Schizosaccharomyces pombe: one gene and its partners. Changing the gene in region 1 together with any one later gene gives a genetic interaction. Each region holds a gene or a part of one and is shown on either strand. Other genes may lie near its edges.

Region 1 (3,624 bases):
ATTGGAGGAGTTTGAGGAAGAAGAATCTAGTGAAGAGGAAGAGAGCGAAGACGTAGAATATCCTACTGAAGAAATTACTGAACGTGAAACGATTGAGGAATATCAGTCAGCGTCAGAGCCTAGGTCACAGAGGGAAGATTTGCATGCAGAGCCCTTAACGTATTTTAATCAATCTAATGTAGAGGTTGACAATGTTGAATTACGAAAAAATACTCAACCAAGTAGTGATGCTGCTAATCGAGACTTATATCAAGTTTTACCTGAAAAATCTACTAATATCTCAGGTTTCATGGGTCCTCAGCATCAATACGACATTCCTACCGCTGAAGATACTCTTCCACAAAAAAGGAATGCACATTCCATGCTCTCATCAACCAACAAAGGAGATGTTGCGTTAAATCAAAGTTCTAATTGGCAAGATGAGCTTTCGGAGTTGGTGTCTGAGCAGGCTATGAAGGTTGGTGCTGCGAAACGACAGAAAACACAAAGCAAGAGAGACAAGTTTCGTCTTTAAATTATTATCTACAGTGTACATTAGTTAATCTATATGACAGTATTATTGTTAAGCTCCATACATTATTCAAGTATTAATTATTATTTGTAAGTGAAAATAAAAAAAACCCCAATTTATACCCTAGCTAAAATATATTTTATATACTGTTTTTTTGAAGATGGAAGTCTTTGTGACTATATTTTTCCTTGATCTTTGCACGATACTTTGATTTCTTCAATACTGGCAAAGATGGAGGAACCATTGCTCTTTGTTGTAAACTTAAATAGCGATCGGCAAACAAATTTCCTTCAGGCTTCAGCTCTCTAAGGGAACTAGTCAGCTCATCTCCCAACTTTATTTCAAGTGGGTTGTTAGGCAATCGATGTTTACCGAATTTTTTCTTCTTCAGTTTGATTTCAGTTGTGCTAGAAGAAACAGCCTTATTAGAGAATTTCTCAGCTTTATCCTTTTGCTGCAGTTTTTTGGATATTGCAGGAGCTTTGTCGATCGTCCTCAGAAGCTCTTCATTTTTCTTTTGCTCAAGTAATCTAAGCTCCTCCTCTCTTCTTTGGCGTATCTTATTTCTTTGAGACCTGGTTTTTCGTTTGTTCTTCGAAGAAGGGATCGGAGTTTCTGCTTGTTCGTGTTCAGACTGGTCATCAGAATCAATGCTGTGATTAACGTCTTGGTCTGAAACTAATCCCTTGTCTTCAAAAGCTTTCTTCTGTATTCTTTCCTTTTCCTCTAATTCACTAATTCTTTTCTGTTCTTTCTTAAGTTCCTCTGAACCTTTGGTATCAAGTAGCTTCATCCAAGCTGCAGCGTCAGGATTGTATGACATTCCTGGATCAGCGATAACAACATTTGGGACTTTTGCATTATTCTCAGTTAAAGATTCGGGTAGTTTAGATAATGTAGAAGGTCTTTTAACAGGTATAGTAACTGTTGGGTTTGTTTCCCAAACATCATAACTTTCCTTTGGTTGTTTGGTATTTTTGAGCTCACTAGCAGCAGAAGTTGCGGTTAAACCATCTTTATTTTTATACACCAAAGCTTGTAGTCTATTTAGTTCTTTTCTAGAAAAAATTTTTCCTTTCTTATTGCTTTCAGTTGAATTATTCGTTAAATGAGAATGAACTTTTTCTATGGAAGACTTATTTTCAAGAATTTGATCAACCTTTAATGGTTTAATTTTTTTTCTGCTTCTTTTTGCAATTCTATCATCACCAAGAGTGTCAATTACAAATAAAGCATCATTCGGCTTGTGCTCGACATTTCCACTGTTTTAAGTTAATAAAAATATTTTTAATTAATACAATGCAAAAACTAATATACCCTTTTATTTCCTCATCTCTAGTCTGCTCTAGACCAGACTCGATATCCTCCAAATCAATATTTTTCCTCCATGCTCGTTTGTTTTTACGAGATGATTGTTTATATTGAGAAGGTGCATTCCTCTCTTTGATTCCCATCTTTTTAAAATAATAGGATTTCGACTCTCTAATCTAATTACTACAATTAGGAGTGCTTGGCAGAAGGCAAAATTCTACCACTTGCCAAGCACCTAGTACCGCAGTGCAAAATTACATTCTTAAATTAGTTTTTCAATATAAGTGAATACTCGCCTGGATATATAATCTAATTGCAATGAAAATGAAATTTAATAAATATTTAATATTTTTTTTATGCTTTAAATAGAAGATGTGAAGCTCTAAAGTGCGAAATTGAAAATCTATACACTGCAACTCAATTGTAATGAATTAAATTAAATTATTAGAACCTTTTGTTATTCTTGGAACAACTTCAACATCAAGTAATATGAAAATAGACAAGGTATAAAAGCTAAAATTTATGTACAAGCTGGCTGGAAGCTACATGTACGCAAATACCTAATTTAGTTTGATACATATATAGCTTTCATCAATATAAAAAGCACCAAGTATATTTACTAGATCAATTATTTAAATTTTTTTTTTCTTAAAAATACAAAAAACCAAAGAATGTTTAACCATATTGAATATTATTAATTAATCATGTCACTAATTCAGGCATATATTACCATCAGAACAATCAATTTAAAAAAGTTTTGTAGAAAGTAGCCAGATTTTACAGCCTTTAGTCACGAACTTTCTCTTTAAGAGTCTGCAAAAACTGTAAATAGCTGGGAGAGTTCTCACTACGATCCTCGACGAAGTGAGAGAAAAACCATGAGCGCAATTGTGGATCACCATCACCACGTACAAGGTAAAGACTAGGCATAATAGTTGAACCTTTATCCAACGAACGAAGTTTACCGAGAATCGCATTGATACGAACGTTAAGTGGGTTGTCTATAACTGGCATTGTAAAACGTCCAGCTTTCAAATCCGCAAGAGAGTTTACACCAAATGCGTCTATCAGTAGCTGCGGAACTGCATCTTTACCAATATACAAAAATTGATGAATGTGTGTATCAACCAAATATAAACCAAAAGATTGCAACAAAGCTGAAGTAAGATTTAACGCAGAAGGGAGAACTACACCCTGTTCTGTAACAGTTCCTGCTTCAATAGGCATATCGTGCAAAGAATAAAGAGTTGGATAAATGTAACGCATTAGTAAAGGAGTTGGCAGAGTACTTAAATAACATAGAGCAATAGAACGAAGGTCAGATGAGATATGACTAGATCTTCTGAATCCAGTATGCTTCGTCAATGCTAAACAAAGCAATGGTAATAGTCTTAAATTGGTGCTTATTTGAAGCGGGATCGCAGCACCGGTGTTTTGTCCAGCCAAATTTTTTTTGTAAACTTCCAAAATTTCTACAAGCTTACTTATAATGCTATCACGGGCTTCGTTCAACGTAGAAGAAAGAGCCTTTTCACTAGCCCGGACAGTAAGATATTGTGCAATGGCAACTTGATCGGCTGATGCATATAAATCAGTCATACTATTGGTAGTAGGAAGAGAAATAGTCAGTACACGAATCCGTCTTTCACCGTTACAAGTAGTATGGAGCATAGCTGTTTGGAAAGAAACAAAGGGCTTGGTGATAGTGTCCTCAATAACAACCTCTACTACATAACTCTGATCGCGAGGAAAAGAAGGAAACGCACATAGATCACTTGAACGATTAAAAAAGTTTCCGTAGA
Region 2 (4,307 bases), 2.7 Mb from region 1:
TGCAAATTAATGAATTCTTTATACAAATGGTACAAAAATAGATAAAAGAACAATCCCTTATTACAACACCTTGTTTTAGGAAAGTAAAAGTAAAATAACTTCAAAATGGCATTCGAAGAAAAAATCAGTGCCTAGAAGTTGAATTGTAAGCCAACCGTGATTAATTATTTTTAAAATGCAGTCAACCCAATTTTGACACGAAATGTCATCGAAATCTGGTGTTTGCTAATACTCTATAGAATGAGAACCTAGCAGTAACACTTGAGAAAGAAAAAAGAAGAACAATTAAAGTAAAATCTCTTCTCTAAATGATAAAATCCTTTCTCACCTACTATGCACTGTTTTGCGATTATATTAAGTCGTGAAGTACCGGTAAACCCGTTTTTGTGTTTGGTTGCAAACAACTCGTAACGGAAAAGCCCACTAAGTTATGTTAGGGTGACATTTTAGGTAGCGTGCAGTTATAAATAATTACAAAATAAATATATAAGCCGGCAGTATTTTATATTATTAGAAATGCTATCAACTTCGATTAAGGGACATAAAAGAGGAAACTATCACACATAAGTAGTAGCATAAAATTAACTTAATTCTGTAAGTCACATTGTAAAATTTACTCTCAAAGCCATCCTGGAGTTCATTAAGATTTTTAAGTAGGATGTTCATATCTTAAGCAAATAAAACACGTAGACAGATAATATATCAACTAGATAAAACAAGTGTATAACTCTTTGCGACTTCTTCGCCCACAGCAGCATTGATTTCAACAAACCAATGTTTAACCTGAGGGAAATAACTTAAAACATGCTGAAGAATTAGCATTGTTACTCAAAAATAAAGACATACTCTTGTGGGGAAAGTTGAATTGCCAATGTTAGCAAAATTCTCCGAAACCAAGGACTCAGCAACATTTACTGAAAGAATTCCAGGAAGCTGTCGATTAAACAGTGTATAATCATCTTCGTTTTGAGATGAATCTTCAGAAGAATCGTAGTCAACAGCAGTTTGAATATCACTATTATTTTCATCCCCGAAACTTATATATTTAGGAGCACCAGTATTCCAAAGTGAAGTAAAGTTTTCAATTGGTATCCATTTATTTGTACCCTGTTTGTATTAGTTCAAGTTAAAATCGAATGTATACGTACGGGATTAAGCAGGTACGATGGACTATACGTTGCCTTATACTTCATTTTGGGACATGTGTGAATATAATAACCTGCAAGGTCAATCAACGTAATTAAATAAATGACATTTTAGCCTACCCATGTAGTAGTACCGATATCCGCATTCAAGAGCAAGCCAGATTTCACGGCAGGCACTAATCCTTCCCAGAGAAAACTTAGACATATCAGGATCATAAAACAGATAAACGCTAGAAACACCATGTGGTAGCAAGTCTAAAACTCCAACTGCCACAAGCCTTCCTTGAAATCGATACATCTGATGATAAGAACCATACTTTATCCCCTTGTCTTCATTAAATAAAGGAGAGTTGCAAAGAAACCTGCTAAATCCTTTTTTCGTGATTTCCTCTTCTTTCTCTAAATGAACTTGCATTTGATACTTTTTGAAGACTTCAAATTTCTCATCGGTGTAAGTGCAAGGCTCCATAGTTACAGAGTATTTTTCAGCTCCGAGCGATTCTATAGTTTGAAAGGCATTGTTCAAATAATCTGTGCTAATTTCGCTTTTCATAGGTTTTAATGGCTTTCCATTTACATATTTGACCCATTTTTTTATTGCCTTCTTTTGCTCTTTTGCAATTTTAAAATTATAGCTGTCGAGTCTTCAACATTCGGCGGTTAGTAATCAATCATATTTGGCGACTTATGCTAAGTACCTGATTGTATAAAGAGAACAGCAAGATGTTTTCCCGTTGGGTTTATATAAATAATGTCCTGAACGTCTTATTTTATATTAGCAATGTTAACTAATAAAGGTTTTTACCTCCATCCCAAATCAATCAATCGCTGGTAGTCCTGAGGTTAAATGTAGGTTAGCAAAATTTGCAAAAAGCAGAGTTATACGCTTACTTCACAACTGAGCTTTTCTGCTAATAAACCAAAATGCTCGGTCTTTCTTCCACTTTTACAATAACCACATTCAGTACTGACGTTGTACCCTGTGTACAACAGTTTATCCAATACCATACTATTGTTTGAAAATTTCCCTGTTTAATATTAAATGAACTATATCATCAGTAGTAAAACTCTTAGTTCAGTTCTTTTGCCTTTATTTTGAAGGCTCTTTGAGTAGGTGAACTAAGACTACACCAATTATTTCTTGAAGATTAAGTACCCTATTTTTCGTTGAGTGCATGTTTATAGAAATTTCCTGATTAATCATATTAAAAAGTCTATCACATTTTCATACGAATATCTAGAAAAAAACCCAAAAAATACATAGTTCTCTTGACACCTTTTACAAGAGTCAATGACAAAAGTGTATACGTCTAATACAACTATAACATGCACTAACGATAAACAAAACATATAAAAAGCGACTAATATTAATATTATCCACGATACCATCCACCAAGTTCTATATATATAAATTAAGTCTAAAAGGTATATCAGTAAACCGTAAATATGTAAAAGACCAACTTCAACAACTAGCACCGTCTAAAGAAAATTAAAGGATAAACAACTCTCAACTTGTCAATCCAAAGAGCGAATTAAAAAATTAGTCTGAAATTATTCTTCATCATCAGAGAAGAATGATTTGGGTTTTTCGGTGCCCTTGGGAGATTGTAACCATGCTAATTCTCTCTCTCTAGCACGTCTTTCTTTGGCCTTGATTTCATTTCTCGTCAATTTCTTCTTTTTGGTAGCTTTAGCCTCAATCTTTTTCAAATCTTTCTCCGACAGATCTTCAAACTTTCCATCGTCAACAGCGGTCTTGCCCTTACCGGTAACCTTACCCGCTTCTACATGCCAGTGTTCAGGACACAACGCAGAAACAAATTCTTCATTATGTGAAATCATAACGACCCCACCTTCCCAATCACGAATAGCAACAGCTAAACCACCTAATGCATCTCTGTCCAAAAAGTTTGTAGGTTCGTCCAAAACCAAAAGCTGGGGGTTATTCCAGAGACACGCAGCAATAACAACTTTAACCTTTTGACCGCCAGACAAACTACTAATGGGGCTGTAATCAGCAATGTCGCCAGGAAGGCCCACATCCTCAAAATGTGCCCTGATGTCTTCGGGAATCAATTCACGGAAACCGAGACCTTCGCGAGAAGATTCCATATCATCAAAAGCCTGTACAAACTTTTGAAACCCATTTTCAAGCAATATTTCTCGAGACACCCACGTATTGTATTTATGAGGCTTCCCAAACCATTTAATTTCATATTGAAATGACTTTTTTAGTTTTTGACGGCCAATCAAAGCTTCCACTCTTCTACGTTCGCCATTGACCGTAATATCACGCTGAAGCTGAGCACGGTCTTCTTCGGTAAGTTTTCGAGATTCCTTCTCTGAAACTTCGCGGTCCTGTCCTCCAGCATAACGCCATTGAATATATTGACTTGGCGTTTTTTCCAGATGTTGATCCAAGTGATGAAAGGCATGCTGAGCAACGTAACCCACACGCAAGTTGGGATGCTTGAAAACTTTTCCTTCTTGAGGGATTACTTCACCGATAAGAACTTTAATAAGCGTTGATTTACCAGCACCGTTAGGACCTAAAATGGCAACACGAGAAGATAAAGATAACCCAACGGTAACATTATCTAATGACTTCTTCTTCGCGTTGGGATATGTATAAGAAGCGTTTGTCATTTTTAATATGAGACGTGTGTTTGAGCGCACACCAGTTAAGATACCGGGAGGTGGAAAAACAAACTTCTCGTTTGTGGCTGTCAATGTATAGTATGATTTAGCTTCCGGTTTGACCTTGACAAAAGCTGAAAGATTACCTTGATAATAACCAAGCTTTTTTGCCTGGTTTTTAACACCTTCATAATGAATGATGTCAGTACACACGTGGTCCAAAAATGAAGAGTCGTGAGAAACTATCAAGCAAGTAATATTCTTTTGAGAGGTTAAATATGCTTCCAGCCATGCAATATTGGCAACATCAAGATGATTTGTTGGTTCATCCAAAAGCAAAATATCAGCTTTCTGCAACATGGCACGAGCCAACTCCAGTTTCATTTTCCAACCACCAGATAAAGAAGCAACAGGATTTTCCTGCATCTCCGCAGTAAAACCAACAGAATGCAAAGCATCAGCAGCTTCTTGACGGGTAACATTCATAGTCAGTAACGCCTTATCTTGAGCAACAAAGTCAAGGAT
Region 3 (3,315 bases), on another chromosome or scaffold:
TTTTCTCTTTGTTTTTTATATTAGGACCTTTCTAAATTCGATAATGAATCACTTCTTCATACCCTACATTATATTTGTGTTCATGAGTATTTGAATTCATCTTATTTACAATATTCAGAATAATTAAAATAAAAAATATAAGACAAGCCTGCCCAACATATAAAGAAAACAATATTTGATTATTATTTATTCGAGCTTTTGTTTTAGACATAATATTTATAATTTACTTAAAAATTTAATAAAATCATTGAACTTTTCTCAATAAATTGACGACATTATTTAAAAAAAAAAAATAAAAAAGGTCTTGTAGTATAAGAAAAATAAAAAGATAGTAACAATAAAAAAATAAAATAAAATTAGCGCCTCAAGTCATTTCGACATGATTACAGCTATCCCTTCTTTCATTTTATATTTTTTACTTTTGATGATTGGCTTTTCCAAACAATAAATACCAATTTTAGCAAGAGCAATACGATGGATGTTACATGGTCTGCTTTGTATATATTTTCGGAATGTATAGTAGAAAATCATAGTTTAAAGATGATATTATTGAAAGAGCACTTGAACAATTGATGTATGAAACGAAAAAGTTGAGTCTATATCTATATGCATAAAGGAAAGTAAACAATGCATGAATTTTGAAATATAAAGAATCAATCAATCAATTGAAATATTGGAACGTTATTATCAAGATAGACGCCACAAATTCACTTAATTATCCAAAGCCTTTGATCTTTCTTCGAAGGTAGCCTTGCTAGCAGGTCTGGCAAGAAGTCTTTGATGCCAGGAATAAGTTCTAGGAAACTCTTTTTCAAAGTCGAGCTGAGGCACTTCTTCCTCGATTGAAAACTTTCCTTCTGCAAAAATAATTTCAAGGAAGTTATTCCATGAAATGAATGATAAGTCAGCAATTGTGAACCGGTTGGCCACGAGATAATCACGGTCTTTAAGGATATCTTCGAGGACTCCTAGAACACGTTTGATTTCATTCCTATAACGGGTAATGGCAGATATGACTAGCTCCTGATGATAGACGCTAAACCATCCAGCCTGTCCCCAAATGATGCCTTGGCCAGAAGCTTGAAAAAATAAATATTGTATAACTTTGTAGTATTCAGGATGGTCACGAGGCAAAGATATCTTCCTTTCCGTATCATATTTGTCAGCTAAATAGATTAAAATGGCATCAGATTCCCAAATGGTATAATCGTTATTGTGGTGATCAATCAAGGTAGGTACTCTACCGTTAGGGTTTAAGGCTAAGTGTTCGGGGGATTTCTGCTCATTTTTTGAAAAATTCACATATCTGGTTTCATAGGTAAGGTCCAACTCCTTCAGCGCTTGAACCACCTTCCATGGATTAGGACCATGAGCATGCGACCATAAAGTGAATTGAGCCATGATACTTTATTTTGAGTGTGTTCTATTGTTAAATGAAAGGAGTTTGGCAATGGATTAAAATATAAAGAGCATCTTTACCATTTTATATACAATTCTTACTTCCATTGCGTATGCAATATTTATGAAAAATTTTGGAAAACACCCGAAATCGAGTTGATCAATTTCATCCAACTTACTAATCGATCATACATTAGACTCATACGTGGATTCAACTAAATTTTACTCGATTAGCTGACGACAAGCCGGAAGTTATGATTTATGTCAAAACGTGATCAAAGAAAGATAAATCTACTACCGATTCCATTTACTAATACATTTGAATCCTGTTAGCCGGTTACACGCTACATTTAATCAATCTTGTAATGCATCAAAATTTCATGTAAAATTTCTACCAACATATAGTGCGTGGGGACTGACTTCTCGTTTTGTTTAACTATGTATAATCCTTGTGGGAAATAAACGTATGCTTAGTGTTATATTTAATTTCTTAAAGGGTCGGCTTAATGCAATTCCAAATTCAAATGCAATTAAAACTGTTTCAGGTTCTTAAGACATGTAGTTTTCAGAATTTACGAGTCAGTTGAATAGACATCTTATGATAAAGTTAATATAAAAATAATAAAATAGTCTCAACCATACGCTCGAGATTTATTTTGTTCACCACCTGTTCAAAAACCAACGTGTCAAACTTGCTTTTAGACTACTGCACATATTAATTCAAACATGCTAGGGATTCACAATTGGATTTTCAACTGTAAAGATTAGTTATGACGGAGTTTTGTTTCTCACATATCAATTTAAAATTCTCTTCACTCTAATAATCTTATTTCGAAATCTACTTTATTTTTCATCATACAGTGAGTGTAATATGTTTAATTTCTGTAAGCGAATTGGTAATGATTCCCTATGAAAATTTTTTGTTTACATTTACTACCTTGACAATACGATACGTAAATTTTAAAGCTATTCAACATAACTGCAAACACGATGAGTAATTTTGCATTATAATCAGAAAAAGAGCAATGGAAACCAAAAAGCATACACCAACTTGATCAGAGTAAAGCAAGTACATGAACCAATACATGTTTATATCCGTTAAATACTATTTTTTTTCTTTTTAAAAGTATATAAAAATAACCTTTTTTGGATTATTCAATAAACGTCCAGCTTTTACGTCTTTCATTAATTGATTGAACTTTTAAAGTCGAAACCCGATAAATACAATCATGTCTAATAACGTTTATTCATCAAAAACTTTTATTCATTCAACAAGCTCAAAGCTCCATGTCCTTCAATTGACTATTCAATGTGATACATTGCAGCTTTTCCCATATTCTTACAACCCATCGGCTTAGTTTCAACGCATTTATCCAGGATCCTAGTCCGCGAAATCGAGATGCTTTGAAGATTAAAATTAAATTTAATTTTATGCGAGACTGGTTTCCTTATTTTTTGTATAGTCGCATGCAAGCGAGGTTCGCATAATTTGGAAAATAAAGGTAGTCAAGAAGACGTTGAATTAAGGCTGCAGTTTCAAAGTACTCTACAAACGATTCCTTTTAAAAAAAAAGATTCAAAAAAAAAGGCAAAGGGTTTAAGTAATGCTTGTTATTTCAATTTACCTCCAAACAGTTACTAATGCAATTGCAAAAAAAAAAACCTACCTATTGAATCAAAATTTCTAGCCCATCCATCGCTCCTCAAGATAAAGGAATCGATATTTTGAGTTTAAGGGAGTTGCTGATAGATTTCAGAATTAAAAATTTTTGGAAAAGGATGTCGAGAACAAGAAGATACGTCTAGATTGCTGATGATGCATTCTAGCAGACGGAAATACAACGATATGTGGACAGCACGACTTTTGATCCGTTCGGATCAAAAGGAAGAGAAATATCCATCTTTCAAGAAGAATGC

What was found. Genes that interact genetically often act in the same process or in processes that back each other up.
Region 2: mutations in rrp16 (region 1) and ate1 together harm fitness more than expected from each alone (negative genetic interaction), as found in Schizosaccharomyces pombe (one large-scale study listed by BioGRID).
Region 3: mutations in rrp16 (region 1) and gst1 together harm fitness more than expected from each alone (negative genetic interaction), as found in Schizosaccharomyces pombe (one large-scale study listed by BioGRID).

What each region holds. Positions count from the first base shown.
Region 1 is NC_003424.3:4,801,520-4,805,143, reverse strand, and holds rrp16 (rRNA processing protein Rrp16), read right to left. Parts: upstream 2,023-3,624; 5' UTR 1,966-2,022; coding exon 1,829-1,965; exon of another isoform or gene 1,774-1,828; coding exon 651-1,773; 3' UTR 560-650; downstream 1-559. Other genes in the region: putative U2 snRNP-associated protein Sap145, read left to right, coding at 1-514; sec24 (coincidence detector Sec24/Sfb2 subunit), read right to left, coding at 2,609-3,624. UniProt on the Schizosaccharomyces pombe protein: May play a role in ribosome biogenesis.
Region 2 is NC_003424.3:2,076,578-2,080,884, forward strand, and holds ate1 (arginine-tRNA--protein transferase), read right to left. Parts: upstream 2,267-4,307; 5' UTR 2,154-2,266; coding exon 2,037-2,153; exon of another isoform or gene 1,983-2,036; coding exon 1,951-1,982; exon of another isoform or gene 1,910-1,950; coding exon 1,844-1,909; exon of another isoform or gene 1,790-1,843; coding exon 1,266-1,789; exon of another isoform or gene 1,220-1,265; coding exon 1,149-1,219; exon of another isoform or gene 1,108-1,148; coding exon 847-1,107; exon of another isoform or gene 808-846; coding exon 703-807; 3' UTR 530-702; downstream 1-529. Other genes in the region: AAA family ATPase Elf1, read right to left, coding at 2,697-4,307.
Region 3 is NC_003421.2:1,718,614-1,721,928, forward strand, and holds gst1 (glutathione S-transferase Gst1), read right to left. Parts: upstream 1,458-3,315; 5' UTR 1,402-1,457; coding exon 712-1,401; 3' UTR 530-711; downstream 1-529. Other genes in the region: SPOM_SPCC191.10 (uncharacterized protein), read left to right, coding at 3,215-3,315. UniProt on the Schizosaccharomyces pombe protein: Involved in the oxidative stress response and detoxification.